Linked DNA regions of Saccharomyces cerevisiae S288C. The gene in region 1 interacts genetically with each later gene. Each region holds a gene or a part of one and is shown on either strand. Other genes may lie near its edges.

What was found.
Region 2: mutations in HSP30 (region 1) and VMS1 together harm fitness more than expected from each alone (negative genetic interaction), as found in Saccharomyces cerevisiae (2 studies listed by BioGRID).
Region 3: mutations in HSP30 (region 1) and PRM6 together harm fitness more than expected from each alone (negative genetic interaction), as found in Saccharomyces cerevisiae (2 studies listed by BioGRID).
Region 4: mutations in HSP30 (region 1) and VCX1 together harm fitness more than expected from each alone (negative genetic interaction), as found in Saccharomyces cerevisiae (2 studies listed by BioGRID).

The regions. Positions count from the first base shown.
Region 1 is NC_001135.5:155,263-158,885, reverse strand, and holds HSP30 (Hsp30p), read left to right. Parts: upstream 1-1,778; coding exon 1,779-2,777; downstream 2,778-3,623. Other genes in the region: YCR023C (uncharacterized protein), read left to right, coding at 1-348; YCR022C (uncharacterized protein), read left to right, coding at 1,121-1,465; HTL1 (Htl1p), read right to left, coding at 3,330-3,566. UniProt on the Saccharomyces cerevisiae protein: Probably cooperates with other heat shock proteins in the translocation of polypeptides through membranes. It may counteract the altering effect of heat shock on the plasma membrane.
Region 2 is NC_001136.10:550,916-555,735, forward strand, and holds VMS1 (Vms1p), read left to right. Parts: upstream 1-2,338; coding exon 2,339-4,237; downstream 4,238-4,820. Other genes in the region: uroporphyrinogen decarboxylase HEM12, read left to right, coding at 945-2,033; triose-phosphate isomerase TPI1, read right to left, coding at 4,811-4,820. UniProt on the Saccharomyces cerevisiae protein: Endonuclease that cleaves polypeptidyl-tRNAs downstream of the ribosome-associated quality control (RQC) pathway to release incompletely synthesized polypeptides for degradation.
Region 3 is NC_001145.3:179,306-182,991, reverse strand, and holds PRM6 (pheromone-regulated K(+) transporter PRM6), read left to right. Parts: upstream 1-1,916; coding exon 1,917-2,975; downstream 2,976-3,686. Other genes in the region: PRP39 (Prp39p), read right to left, coding at 1-1,518; GSF2 (Gsf2p), read right to left, coding at 3,355-3,686. UniProt on the Saccharomyces cerevisiae protein: Low affinity potassium transporter that, with KCH1, participates in high-affinity Ca(2+) influx system (HACS) activation during the response to mating pheromone. Directly promotes K(+) influx and HACS may electrochemically respond to this K(+) influx.
Region 4 is NC_001136.10:230,720-234,809, forward strand, and holds VCX1 (Vcx1p), read left to right. Parts: upstream 1-1,932; coding exon 1,933-3,168; downstream 3,169-4,090. Other genes in the region: YDL129W (uncharacterized protein), read left to right, coding at 305-1,180.

The DNA.
Region 1 (3,623 bases):
ATGTTATTAATTCATAATTCGAGTCCCTTGAGTTGTAGATCAGTCATCAATGGCGCCACCATTAGTATTTCTGCCTCTGCTCGTTTCATAGGTCCCTTAGTATGGGGCTATATTATGTCTTGGTCCCAGCAAAATGACGTCGCCTGGGTCAGTTGGTGGTCGTTAAGTCTTTTTTGTATGGTAGCTCTTTATCAAAGTTATAAGATAGCACCAATTGATGATAACGAAAATGAGCTTCATGGACAGGGTAGTGAAGATGCCTACAATTCGCAGTCACAGTCTTCTGATTTAAGAATGGCTCATCGATCTAGTTTAAGCAGCTTAAGTAACCAACGCTGTACCACATGAGAAATTTTTTTTCAGAAGGCTTGCAAAAAGGATATCTAATAAAAAAAAAAATGAACTCCAGTAGATTTTAGATATCAACCATAACTGGCGAAAATTTGCACCTTTTTGATGAGAGCATGTTATGTCAAGGCATGGCCGCGTGATGGCATTGCACTCAAGATAGTTTCCGGAATTATTATACTCCTTATGTAAATTTCAATCCGTTTATGTAATTATATCCAGGAACTCAATTTGACCAGACAAGTAATGGCGCCCATTTTGAGCGAGAGAACCCATTTTTCTATACAAATTTCACTAGAGCACGGCCGTTACATTTAGTAATAGCCAATAAGGGTTTTTTATCGATTAGTGTTCCCTGCGCTCCTTAACATCATACAACCGAGTACTTGACATGGAGATAGTAGGCAAGTAAACCAAAGTCCTTTCTTCAAAAGTAGAAAACTTGAGCACTTATTTCCTGCGCATGTCATATGTTAATTTTCCTCAACTGCGCTGAATACGTCCTGTCAATTCAAATATATCACGTTGTGAGCAGCCCTGAAGAAGAAAACCTCAACAGCAGTATTACTATTACAATCAAACAACTTTAGTGCCGCGTGATACCGGGGGTTGAAGTGGGTGCATTGAGCCGTATTCTTCTTCCCCGTAAGAAAGTTGTGTATCCTTTTTACTGCGTTGTAATAGCTTCTGAAAACCTAAAAAATGAACGCTATGTAGCTCATATCCGTTTTGCATAAGTAAGAATAACTACTTGTGCAGGGTGCCGAAAGGGATGGAAAACCGCTGCAGCAACCCTTGTTACATACAGTCGGATCCATCTGACTTACTTTCCTTGCGTCTCCCTGCGCGATTTTGTTGGCCATTTTCCAGATCCTCTAGAATTTTTCAAGGGTCGAGCCGTAGGAGGATTCTCTCAGAAGGCAAAAACGCATCGAAAGCGTGCTTTGTAAGAATATTTGGTATGGCTAAAGTAAGCAAAGCCATATCCCGATCCCGATCCCGACTCTTATTCCGATCCCTTCCGCCACATCCTGCATGTTTATTCGAATACCAAATTAGCTCATCTTCGTTATTTCATCATCCCTTTCTGCTATGGCAAGGACAAGTTTTTTTCTAGCATCTCATCGAAAACTTTCCTCTCCCTAATTGGCCAAAGTTTTCATATTCATCATCAGTTAGAAAGTATAATATCAATCCCTTACCTCATTACAAGTTGTATCACACTAAAAAAATCATATATAAGTCTGTGAGAGTCTTCAATTATTTAGCGTAACACCTATTCACTTTCTAATCTTGTTTCTTGTTTTTACATTCTGCAATACAACACAACAACAAATATTAACTCAATTATTATTATTTATAATTACAAAAACAAAACAACAAGTTTGAGACTTTAATATCTTTTGATTACTAAAAACAACAAATTTCAAATGAACGATACGCTATCAAGCTTTTTAAATCGTAACGAGGCTTTAGGGCTTAATCCACCACATGGCCTGGATATGCACATTACCAAGAGAGGTTCGGATTGGTTATGGGCAGTGTTTGCAGTCTTTGGCTTTATATTGCTATGCTATGTTGTGATGTTCTTCATTGCGGAGAACAAGGGCTCCAGATTGACTAGATATGCCTTAGCTCCTGCATTTTTGATCACTTTCTTTGAATTTTTTGCTTTCTTCACTTATGCTTCTGATTTAGGTTGGACTGGTGTTCAAGCTGAATTTAACCACGTCAAGGTTAGCAAGTCTATCACAGGTGAAGTTCCCGGTATTAGACAAATCTTTTACTCGAAATATATTGCCTGGTTCTTGTCCTGGCCATGCCTTTTATTTTTAATCGAGTTAGCCGCTAGTACTACTGGTGAGAATGACGACATTTCCGCCTTGGATATGGTACATTCGCTGTTAATTCAAATCGTGGGTACCTTATTCTGGGTTGTTTCGCTATTAGTTGGTTCATTGATCAAGTCCACCTACAAGTGGGGTTATTACACCATTGGTGCTGTCGCTATGTTGGTTACCCAAGGTGTGATATGCCAACGTCAATTCTTCAATTTGAAAACTAGAGGGTTCAATGCACTTATGCTGTGTACCTGCATGGTAATCGTTTGGTTGTACTTTATCTGTTGGGGTCTAAGTGATGGTGGTAACCGTATTCAACCAGACGGTGAGGCTATCTTTTATGGTGTTTTGGATTTATGTGTATTTGCCATTTATCCATGTTACTTGCTAATTGCAGTCAGCCGTGATGGCAAATTGCCAAGGCTATCTTTGACAGGAGGATTCTCTCATCACCATGCTACGGACGATGTGGAAGATGCGGCTCCTGAAACAAAAGAAGCTGTTCCAGAGAGCCCAAGAGCATCTGGAGAGACTGCAATCCACGAACCCGAACCTGAAGCAGAGCAAGCTGTCGAAGATACTGCTTAGAGCAGCTTGAGATTGTCTTAATCATTCTTTGCTTAACACATTTCAAAACATCAGTTTTCTTCTTTTAATGTCACTAATGAAACTTAATATTTAATAATCTAATTTTAATTTCTTTATGAAATATGCAAAATAAATTATATACACAAACACAATAATTAATAATCTAATCTCATTTTTCCAAAATCAAGAAATGTTCTTACTGCTTCCATGCCTGAATAGTCTAATCGATAGTAGGCCATTTCAATTCTTTTTAGTTATATGGAGACGCAAACACCACTTTATTTTAGCGTACCCTACCAAAATTAAACGATAATATGGTATTTTTATTCTCATTTGTTACACTCTATTCTGTATCACTGGATACATTCGCGGTAACTTGTTTTATAAAGTGAGATGGGATTTATGACCATTAGATGCATATAAAAGCTTCCAAATAATAATAAGATATTGTGACTTTTGGTGAACTAGATACGCTTTGAAATTCTTCATTTGTAATGAAGCAGGATTCACATTCAATATTTTGTAGCTTACAATTGTGAATGTTGCGTTTTCCTACTTTTTCCTTTCATTTTTCAAAGCATCGAGCATTTTTTTCATTTCTTCCAAACTCATCCTTTGCCTTTCAGGATTGATAATACTATTGTGTCTTTCCGTACTTTCTACCAAGTTCAATAACTCGCATATGTTTTCTCTTTGAGATAATAACTGAAATGCTGTTAAATTTTTCAGCGTTACATTGTTGTAAGCTCTTTCAGGATTCATTGAGCTGATTGTGTTGTTCTGTGACATACGATATACTGATACTCTGTTCTAAATAACACAATCCTTTCGTTCTATCATAAAATT
Region 2 (4,820 bases), on another chromosome or scaffold:
GAGCTTTCGTTGATCGCGGCTCGAAGTTCAGGTAGAGAAATATAGCAGAGCTCTTTTCGCGGAGCCGCATGCACGGCTACATTAAAAGGTGTCCTTCCAGCTCAGCGATATGTGTCGGCCGGAAAAAAAAAGCACGCATCCGGCAAGCACACTAGTAAGTCTAATGCAGGATGAAGAAACGAAGAAGGTGCCATGAGAAGGAAAATAAAACTCAATGGGACGGAACGGCAGCATTTTTTAACAAATTATTTTGGATTCATCCGTAACAATATAACTTGGTACGGGAACGGCATGTTTTAAATGCACAGCGGTGCCTTGTTTCGCCGTGGATTGTTAAAGGCTCTTTTTCGGACGCCACATATTCCTATGCTGCACCAGCAATTGGTGTCTTCGGATCATACTACTTCGCACTAGTTTATATTCAAGGCTTTTAATGGAGCTTCGCTCTTAAAAGAAAAAACTTCTTTACTTCCATGCGCGCGTTTTTGGCGTACGTAGCACTGCGAAAGAGTGGGTGATATATAGAGAACATGTTGTAGTATACGTACGCGGGCAATTGTGGTGACAGTATCTCTTTCTGTTAGCAAGTAATATATCCTTGGCCTCAACCTGTCAATAGTGTTAGTTTATCCGCCATCTTGGCGCTATCATACACGATCTTTTTCAATGTTTCTCGTATATACAGGACAGGGTTCGGGGTTTTTGGCGGCAGGAGAGGAAAGCAAAAAAAAATGAGGCAAGAGTTTTAATTTTGCCAGCGAAATGTTCTGCCATTTTCATCTTTACCGCTCGAATTAGTGATGTTCCAGACGAAGGTAACATAGAGTGATCGATAGGTTCTTCAATTCATCAAGCATTATCTCAGAATTGTGTTTGGTAAGCTCTCTTCGAGAAAAGGAAGAACAAAAAAAAAAAAAATAAAGCAAAGAACAGGTTATAACGCTATGGGTAACTTTCCAGCTCCAAAAAACGATTTGATATTGAGAGCCGCAAAGGGTGAAAAAGTCGAGAGACCGCCATGCTGGATAATGCGCCAGGCAGGTCGTTACCTGCCGGAATATCACGAGGTGAAAAACAATCGTGATTTCTTTCAAACTTGCAGGGATGCGGAAATTGCTTCTGAGATTACTATCCAGCCGGTAAGACGCTATAGAGGCCTCATTGATGCTGCTATTATTTTTAGTGATATCTTAGTTATTCCGCAAGCCATGGGTATGAGGGTCGAGATGCTCGAAGGTAAAGGTCCACATTTCCCAGAACCTTTAAGAAATCCGGAAGACCTCCAAACGGTATTAGACTACAAGGTTGATGTTTTGAAAGAGTTAGATTGGGCTTTCAAGGCAATCACCATGACAAGGATCAAGTTGGATGGTGAGGTTCCCTTATTTGGCTTTTGCGGGGGACCTTGGACTCTAATGGTTTATATGACGGAAGGCGGTGGATCCCGTCTTTTCAGATTTGCCAAACAATGGATTAACATGTATCCAGAGCTTTCTCACAAATTATTACAAAAAATCACTGATGTGGCCGTGGAGTTTCTGAGTCAGCAAGTCGTGGCGGGTGCTCAAATACTACAAGTTTTTGAAAGTTGGGGTGGTGAGCTTTCGTCTGTAGATTTTGATGAGTTTTCCCTACCATATTTAAGACAAATTGCCGAAAGAGTGCCTAAAAGATTGCAAGAATTAGGTATCATGGAACAGATTCCTATGATCGTTTTTGCGAAAGGGTCGTGGTATGCTTTGGACAAGCTATGCTGTTCAGGATTTGACGTTGTTTCGTTGGACTGGTCCTGGGACCCAAGAGAAGCGGTAAAAATAAACAAGAACCGTGTCACCTTGCAGGGCAACCTGGATCCTGGCGTCATGTATGGTTCTAAAGAGGTAATAACAAAGAAAGTTAAACAGATGATTGAGGCTTTTGGAGGTGGGAAGTCCCGCTACATTGTTAATTTCGGTCACGGTACCCACCCTTTCATGGATCCAGACGTCATCAAGTTTTTCTTGGAGGAGTGCCACAGAATTGGTTCGAAGTAATGTGGAAATATTGATTCTTATAGTGTTATAAGTGATAATATACGTTTATGTAAATAATATCTTTTTCACAACGTTCAAAAGTGGCCTTTTTTCTTTTTTCGATATTCTGTATATTTATTACGATTTTTTTTTTTTTCAGATATTTATTTTTGCAGGTTCTCTGAATGGATGTAGTGACAAAATCTTAAATAGAAGAAAATAAAAGATGAAGGTATATGAAAATAAATGAGAATGCATATCACCTTTCCTTCGAAGAAAAAGGATTTTCAAAAGATCTGCACGCCTGTTGACAAGCTTCCAATAGCATGAATTCACAAAAGGCGAGTAAAATGACTGGCTCACTAAAAAAGAATGATCTTTATATTTTTGATTTGTCTGAGCAACTTCTGAATTCATTGAAATTGATGAGCTTTGACTCCACACTGCGAGAAGTTGAAGTAGAGAAGACATCTGATAATGATAGAAACAAGGAGTCTGGAGATCTCCAAATAGCAAGAAAGAAGGTCACATCAAATGTTATGCGTTGTAGTGTTTGTCAAATGAGCTTTGATTCCAGAAATGAACAAAAGGCCCACTACCAGACTGATTATCATTTGATGAATGTTAAGCGTAACCTTAGGGGGCTGGATATCCTATCCGTTGAGGAATTCGATGCGCTGATTTCTAAGGAGCATGGTATCAAGTCTGAAGACGAAAATTCTGGCGGCGAGCAAACTTCAAGCGATCACGAAGAAAGTGAGGAAGCCAGCGATCGGGACCCGGACCTACAAACTAATAATTATATGGAAACTATAATCGAAAATGATTTGCAGAAATTAGGGTTCCAAAAAGACGAGTCGGATGCTATTAGCCATATTAATACCCAATCGCCCTACATTTATTTCAAATCGAAGTATCTTCAAAAGAATGAGGTCTTGGCGATTTATAAGTCTCTATTTAATAAAAGGAGTCTTTCCAACCCCAATGAAGCTTTGACTTTTTGGAATTCGCAAGAGAACCCAATGGCCATTTCAGCTCTGTTTATGGTGGGAGGTGGACATTTTGCGGGAGCAATTGTTTCTCATCAAAGACTCAATGTCAAGGGGAACGCGCACAAGAAGGACGAAACCTTAATTGAGCAAGCGGTCAATTTCTTAGAGCACAAGACGTTTCACAGGTATACTACCAGAAGGAAGCAAGGTGGTTCTCAGTCAGCAATGGACAATGCAAAGGGAAAAGCTAACTCTGCCGGTTCAGCACTTCGTAGGTACAATGAAAGCGCTTTAAAAACAGATATACAGGGTGTGTTGAAGGACTGGGAACCTTATCTGTCAAAGTGTGATAATATTTTTATTCGAGCTCGCAATGTCAGTGATAAAAAAATTTTTACTGATAATACCGTTCTGAACAAGGGTGATGAAAGGATAAAGAGCTTCCCTTTTACCACGAACAGGCCCACTGTATTAGAATTGAAGAAGGCATGGTGCGAACTTTCCTACCTGAAAATATTACCTAAGCCTGAACCATTGGCAGTGAAAGAAACAGTACAAAAGTTAGAAGTGTCGAACAAAAAGGACGAATTTAAAGAAAAACAAGAACCGTTACTGGAAGAAATCCAAACAGAAGAAATAATTTCTCTGCTGAAGAAAGGAAGGGCACCGTTATTGATATCCTTCTTAAAAAAGAATAAGCTTGATGGAAACTTTCGGTTAAAGCCTGAGAGTAAATATTCCTTAACCCCTACCATGTTACATTATGCATCGCAGCAAGGGATGAAACAGATGGCACTGATTTTGCTCTCAAATATTAAATGCGATCCAACGATCAAGAACAGACTAGGAAGGACTGCGTGGGATTTGAATAGAAACGACGACGTGAGACACGCGTTTCAAATTGCAAGATACAATCTTGGAGAGTCTTTCACTAATTGGGACGAAACTCATATCGGTCAGCCATTGAGCAGAGAACAAGTTGATGAAATCAATGAAAAGAAAAAAGCAATAGAGAATGAAAAGGCAGAAAAACTGATTAAATTGGAATTAGAAGCCGCCAAGGAAAAACAAAGATTTGCTAAAGATGCAGAGAGGGGTCCAGGCAAAAAGTTAACCAATATTCCTTCAATTCAGCAACAAAATTTGAATTCTTTGACCGATGAACAGAGACGCAGATTGATGAGAGAACAAAGGGCTAGAGCCGCAGAAGAAAGGATGAAAAAGAAATACTGAGGAATATCTCATATTCAAATTTTTAGGATTTTTCTTAGCATTTGCATATATTTTCATAGACACAGTACTTACATTTAATAACAGTAATTGAAAAGCAATATTAAAATATAGAAGCCCAAATTTTATATTTCAAATGAATAAATGTTGTTTTTTTTGGCAATTTTTTGCTCTTCTATATAACAGTTGAAATTTGGATAAGAACATCTTCTCAACGCGAAAATGACGCCTCCAGTGAAAAAACATAAACTTTCAATGCAGTCTTCGGTACACTTATGAGTAACCCATATAGAGATCGTACACATTTTACAAGGATTTAGAGACAAAGTAATATTCTTCGTTGATATAGAGGTGTTCAATTGTTAAATGCTTTTCTTCTTTTTATTAGAAAAAGCGCCTTGCTTTTTGTTGTATCACTTGTAAATCTACCGTCCCTTACAAGAACATTCACGAAATTTAAGTGGCTCAGAATGAAAAAGAAACAATATAAAAAAGCTTTCCGTAGTCATCAATTTATTTTACATAACACTAGATATAAAGAAAAGAAGATAATATTTTTATATAATTATATTAATCTTAGTTTCTA
Region 3 (3,686 bases), on another chromosome or scaffold:
ATTCATTACTGTAGTCGGCAAGTATATTTCTACCCCAAGCTCCCTAATGAATTTATTCAGCTTGGTAAAATTTACATTACTCTTTTCAAATTTGTAGTAAGTTAACCAGAACGGTACAGAATTTTTAATGAGGATGTTTTTTTGATAAAGGTTGAAATATTTCCTTGTTTGCATATTATTTTTAAGTACAAGCCATGTAGTTTTTATCAATTCTACCACGACTATGCTTAAGTTTTTATCATTTATTAAGGTCTGTAAATGCACCTTGGCATCAATTTGATTATTGATGTAGTTGGTGATTGATGTCTCTAGGATTTTAGTAAACGATGTTTGTTTCTCTAGAATTTCCTTTGGCGATTGATCTAAGGAATTCTTAAAAGAATGTCTTTTCAACATACAAAGGTACTCCGTCATAAGTAATATGTCGTTGGGCCAAATCTTTAAATAACGCGATACTGTCTCATTGAATATGTTATTGAATAAGGTATTATTTGACCGATATTTTCTTTTCAAAAACCTAAGAAAATCATACCTCAAAGTTTTGAAATCCAGTGGTAAGAACGTATTGGCTTTTTGGTATATATCCACTACCACTTCATCGGATATATTTTTCTTTGTTAGCCACTTAATATACATCATCCACGTATTTTCATGGTAAAGACAAGGAATCAAACATCTGTCAAAAACGGACATTACGAATTCTTTATCCAAGGATTTTGAAGGATCCGTCACAAATTTTAAATATCGCGACCAATTTTCCAAATCATCATTTAACACTTGGCCCAGGTTGAAGAAGGGCTGTTTGATTTTCGATTCGAACTGCCAAATTTCATTTACTGTTGTTTGTGTTTTTCGTAAAACTATATCAATATTCCTTGTTGTCTTCAAATTTTTTTCATTTAAAAACTTCTTGTAAGATGTGAAAAACCGCGCATACTGATGTAGAGGAACTTCAATAATGTACTCGTATATTCTTTGAACGTTATGCCAATTCTTCTGCCCAACTTCAAATTCTATAAACTTGTCCCAAAAAGGGTGTGATAGAAACTGCTTGCCAATAAGATCCTTTGCAATTTCAAAATTATTCCTAATAAAATCCGTTTCGTTCGGGTTATTAACACACAACACATTCAAATAATCACACCATAACTCCAGAGAAGTTGGGAACCATTTGACCGAGGTGGCCAGAACAGCAATCGATTTCTTGAGACCAAATAACTGGTACTCAATAGTAGCAAACCTCTTCCAAAATCCAAACAATAAAGGGTACTTACGCAATATTTGCCATAAAATAGTTTCCAAGGCCAATTTGATTGAATCATTTGGATTGCCATATTTAACCACTGTTTGCTCTATAACATCTACCATTTGGGTCAACGAAGAAATATCTGACCAGTCTAAACCACGATATGCTTGTACTAATGCTGTGTTGTCTTGAAGGAACTGGGTGTCCAAACCTCGAAGGGCATCAGGCCTAGGCTCAATATCTTCTATTGTAAAATTTGTTTCATCTGGCATAACGAAAGACGGATTGCCAAGTATCCAATAGCAGTAAGGGCCAAAACTTTTTGTTGAACAAAGAAATGGCTGTGGAAGGCGCGTTTTTACTTTAGGACTTTGAAAACTTTCTTGCGTAAATTCTGTTTAAGTCTGAAACTTTCAACTCTGTATTAAATTTGTTTTAAGATGTGCGACGGCGACGTAAAATGGTAAAGAAAAAGAAAATGAATGATAGTAAATCATACTGAAAACGAATGATCTGAAACAATAAAAAAAGATATTTGTATATAAATTATTCAGCCATGCTCAAACCTCCAGATTAAAAATCAATAATGGATTAATTGAAAGCCCTGGAGCTGGCATTTTTTACCACATTGTCTAAGAGGGAAAGGAAAATGACAACAAAGCGCTAAATAATGGAATCAAGTTTACAAAAATTGAAATTCCAGGATATTGACATAAATCTTATTCCTACTGCGAAGTGGACCACAAAATTACAGTATATTCTATACACCTGGTGTCAGTCGATACTACATGTGGCCATGTTTTTTTCTGATATATACACGTGTATTAAATTACTGGCATTTAACACATGGTCGAACAATATCATCCAACCATTCTTGGAATTCCGTATTTCAAAATGGTTGTTTAGCGGATGCATATTATGCTCCTCATTAATATTAATTTGGGAGTTGGTAATTGGATTGAGAGTGTATAGGAAGAAAGAGATTACATCGAACTACATGAATGGCATTAGCAGATTAATAAATTGCTTGTTCAATTTCAAAAAGTATCAAATTTTCGAACTAATAGTGCTGACTGATGAGAAAAAATTCAGTAAGTGGTTATTCTTTTCATATTTTGAAATCAGTGGATGTTTGAGGCTATTGTTCGGTGACTCTCCAAGGCAAATAATCAACGGATTAACTTTGTGGTCAGTTTTACTGACAGTTTCGAATGAGACCAGTAGCGGAACCCATAGTACTCAAAGCCTAGGTAATTTAGATGACCTAAATGGAATAATAAACAAGATAAAACATATTGCTAAGACAAATTACGAAGAAAGTGTGATCTTGTCCTTCATGTTGTTCTCGTTTATCATATGGGTAATTTTAATAAGCAAATTAATTCTAAGCATAATAATATTCATCATTTTTATACGTCCGAGATTTTTGTCTAGTAAAAGGAAGGTTAAGGGGTATGAATTGAAACTACGAAAGTATGTGTCTAAAGTCATTGACGAGAATTTAAGTAGAACTGTCTACGAATTGGGAATATTGATAGATGATGAGGAAGAAGGGACCATATGTGGTGACAACAAAACGCAAAAAAAATTCGATTATGATAGTCCTGATTATGGCGACGAAAGCACAATACCGAGTTACTACTGCTACTCGGATGTAGAAACGTACGAAAGAGTATATACGCCCATAAAGGCATATTTCCCCCAGAAATACAAACATAAATACATATAAATGTAAACGAAGCTTTTTTTGACTGCAAAAATGCATTAAAAGTAAATCGATTCTCATTTATTGTATATATATTGTATATATTGTATGAAATATTTATAATGATAATGATAGTAACAAAAACCATTGATGGCTATAAACAATGAAACAAAAAAAAGCACTACGAAAACAGTAGATTCGTGAGGAATTGAAAAAAAGAGTGAAAAAACTAATAAAAACAACGAGAGTAAATAGGATAGTACAAAAATACTAGGAGTAAAAAAAGGCCCTCTAGTAGTAGTAATAGTAATAGTAATAGTAGTAGTACTAGTAGTAGTAGTAGTAGTTAAAGGCTATGGTTGAATAAAAAAAAAGTCTGGATGGTAGTGTTTTGGTTTTACAATTAATTAGATTTTTTCAAATCATTCTTTTTTATACCAAAAGTAGCATCATTGTTTGATGCTTTCTCTTTCTCATCAGCAATTTCTCTTCTGAGCTTAACTAGCGAGGCCAGTTTTTCATCTGGTTCATAAATACCAAACCTTCTAAACCTCCTAATTTCAGCATTCATCTTACCAATATCCCCGTCATACTCTTCCAAGATCTTCTTTAGATTGTTTTCCAGCTCCACAAAGTATTCTTCACTTAAAATGAATTTCCGTTCGGTTTTAATAGCCGTGAAAGTGGAAGCAGTGAACCTATCTTCTAGAGGACTTTGGAAACCCTCTCCAGCCA
Region 4 (4,090 bases), on another chromosome or scaffold:
ATCAGACCTGTCGTCACCATAGCAACCAAAAATTACATAAACCCATGGTTGCTCGCCCTTTGATGGCGACGCCGACCGAAGCTTCTCCCGCGCACATTTTTAAAATTTTTACTCATCGGGAATGAAAGGTTCTTTGACACATGTAAAGCTCCCTAAGTTGGACATACGTCGGTCCTTACAGGCTTAGCAATACACCTATAAGGCACTAGAAACGTATAAAATTTGAGCACTTTAGTTTCTCATCCCTTTTGATACGAAACGCGGGCAAGGCTACGGCATACAGGAATTTAACATTTTGTTGGCTATGGAGCTAAGAAGTAGACGGAGCGCAGAGGCCTATCTTGTCACGCCTGAGGAACCTGCCAAGAATAAGAGTGAACGGAGCATAGAATCCAATGAGAGGGTCGGCACGAGGGAAGCAAAGAGCGAGAACACAAGTGTATTTAGTCCCGCTTACTCTGATACCGCTACTACAGATTCATCGAAGAAAGTTGATGACAATGAATACTACAATTTTACTAGTCACTTCATGCCATCTTTGAAAAACACCAGAGAACTAGAAAACACAATTCTCAATCTCATACAGAGGATAAAGGAAGGGGATGATGAAACGTTAGTTAGTGAGAAAGATCTCATATTAAGTGTGCTTAACAGGTCTTTAGCATCCACATCTCACTGGAAGTTACAGGCCCAGCTATCGGAGTTAAGGGCCACCTCAGAGGGAAGGTATGCAGTTGAGACAAACTTGTTGAAAAAAGAGGTAGAATTTTTAAAAAACAAGACCCCAAAAACCAACGAAAGTGCAAGTTCCGCAGAGTTGAGACCACTTCTTGAACGACCTTTAAAGCGTAAACTGTCATTGCCAGGACTAGCGCAAAGACCATTATCCACTGGCGCTAGGCTAGAAGGAGGATATGGAGGTGTATCGCCGAACTCATGGAAAACCAAAGTTCCAAAACTTCCTCTTCCTGCTTCCCGGCCGTCTTTGAATCTTTCTCCCCAAAAAGTCCCAACGGGTACTGATAAAGTTGAGGAAGATACCAAAATTGACACATTGGAATTAGTAGAGAACAATAAACCGCATCCAAGGATGAGAAGAAGGAGTGACAATCCAGCAACAAACGAATATGTGAGAGTTTTTCATTTGGAGAAAAAAGAACCTAAATCACGAAAAAAATAGTATGCTAGAAAAAAATATTATTGAACGTCAATAATTTTTCTTTCTCATGGGACCAAACACATCATTTATTCTCTAATAATATTCTATTCTCTTTATTTCTGGTTTACTCTTTTAAAATTCTCCAAAGAGAAATATCTCCTTCAATTCTTCAGTTACGAATTTATGTTTACTTTTAACCTCTATCATACACCTTTAATCTAATGCCTCCAACTGTCTGTAATTTTAGTACAACTTAAAAGGGAAATTTTCCGAAAGTGTGAAAAAATTGGATTTTTTTTTCTCCTATTGAACTCAATGGAAGCTATCAGTTTGGAGAGGGACAATTATTTTCCTTCTTGTTTTTTGCCAAGAGAACAATATTGTAGTATTTAAGTTCTAATTTAATGTTATATATACTTATCTAATAGTTTTTTTTTTTCAATTAGATTGTTTTCCTTACGACGTTAATCCCTTGTCATCCTCACTTACGAACTTCGATGAATATGACATACGTAATCGGGAATGTTTTGTAAACTAATTGACGTAGTTCCTTTTTCGTAAACTGGACTGGACGGCTTGATCAAAATTCCCGAAAAATAAAAATTTCCCTCACGAGAATATGGAAATTACTATCGCCCAGCATTATTTTATCTCCTCAGAGAGTAAAAGAAGTTTCCTCTTTCCTAAACTTAAAAAGCAGTCCTAAATATATAGTTGACTTCGACGCATATCATTCATCGGCTGCTGATAGCAAATAAAACAACATAGATACAATGGATGCAACTACCCCACTATTAACTGTTGCGAACAGTCATCCCGCCCGCAATCCAAAGCACACTGCATGGAGAGCAGCTGTGTATGATTTACAGTATATTTTGAAAGCGTCACCCCTGAATTTCCTATTGGTATTTGTTCCTTTAGGTCTGATTTGGGGACACTTCCAACTATCTCATACACTGACATTTCTTTTTAATTTCTTGGCAATTATACCGTTGGCAGCTATCTTGGCTAATGCCACGGAAGAGTTGGCTGATAAGGCTGGTAACACCATTGGGGGACTGCTAAATGCTACTTTTGGTAACGCTGTGGAACTAATTGTTTCTATCATTGCCCTGAAAAAAGGTCAAGTGAGAATTGTGCAGGCCTCGATGCTAGGTAGTCTTCTTTCTAATTTGCTGTTAGTGCTTGGATTATGCTTCATATTCGGTGGATACAATAGAGTCCAACAGACATTCAACCAAACCGCCGCTCAAACAATGTCCTCATTACTTGCCATTGCGTGTGCATCCCTACTGATTCCCGCTGCCTTTAGAGCCACCCTACCTCATGGCAAGGAAGACCACTTCATCGATGGAAAAATATTGGAGTTATCCAGAGGCACCTCTATTGTTATTCTCATCGTTTACGTTTTGTTCTTATATTTCCAGCTAGGGAGCCATCACGCCTTGTTTGAGCAACAAGAAGAAGAGACCGATGAAGTTATGAGCACCATTTCCAGGAATCCACATCACTCTTTGAGTGTCAAGTCATCATTGGTGATACTTCTAGGTACAACTGTGATCATCTCTTTTTGTGCGGATTTTCTAGTCGGTACGATAGACAACGTTGTTGAATCTACCGGGCTATCTAAAACATTTATAGGTTTGATTGTCATTCCTATTGTGGGTAATGCCGCAGAGCATGTCACTTCAGTCTTGGTGGCCATGAAGGATAAGATGGATCTGGCGCTAGGTGTTGCCATCGGTTCCTCTTTACAAGTTGCCTTATTTGTTACACCATTCATGGTTCTTGTGGGCTGGATGATCGATGTTCCAATGACGCTAAATTTCTCCACTTTTGAAACCGCTACTCTTTTTATTGCTGTTTTCTTATCCAATTACTTAATTCTCGATGGTGAGTCAAACTGGTTGGAGGGTGTCATGTCTCTAGCTATGTATATTTTGATTGCAATGGCATTTTTCTATTATCCAGACGAAAAAACCCTTGACTCTATTGGAAATAGTTTATGAGTAAGAACAGTAGCGCAGAAATTCACCATTCTCTTTTTTTTTATATTTTATCTTCTTCGTAATTCTATCGATGGACCAATACAAAGATGATTATGACTAGCAAGTCATTATTATGATCGTTATATTATACATATTATGTTTACGCAACTAATTTTTATATCGAATTTTATCTGAAAAAAAGTTTTCAAAACCAACAAAATATTTTGTACACTCTTCGAAACTCAAATTCTGCACCATTTCCATTCTGATAAAAGGTTTAATATTTCGAAGCTTCTCAACTACAGCTCGTGTTCTTCTTGCAGCACATCAGCTGCTTTGCTGCACTGTTCAGGGTAACGTTATTCATTACAACGAGAATATTTAGGAATTTTGCTCAAATTCATGGAGCTTCCTACATCATTGCACAACAGAATTTCGTTTTGTAGTATAGTTTATTAGAAACAAATGTGAATAGATCATGAGACGCGAAGCCCTATTTTAGCGGATTTTAGCCTTACATTTCTGAGTGAGAATGCCAGCTGAAACACATTCTTGTTACATCTGTCACGGCATTCCAGCTGTAAAAAACCAGCAGATATCGCATAAAAAAATGGCCAGCTATAGAATAAAATTAGCCCAGCTATATTTTTATAGCGTCTTTTGATGACGCGAAAAGTAGACTTCGCGTAACACGAAAAATGCTGGTGCAGGTGGATTTTTTTGGCAGATACTACGGTCAATTCTCCGCTCGAAGATTTTTATAGGCCTGGCTAGTTACCTATTTAGTGCAAATTGGGAAGAGATCTATTGTTCCCGCAGACACGCTAAGTGGTAGCTGTAACTTCGGAGACGTGTGAGACCTTCCTCAAACATGTTACAGGTTGATCGATTTACACATCTAATGCAAGTTTAAGTGCTTCTTAAGTGTTTTTTTCTTTAGTCT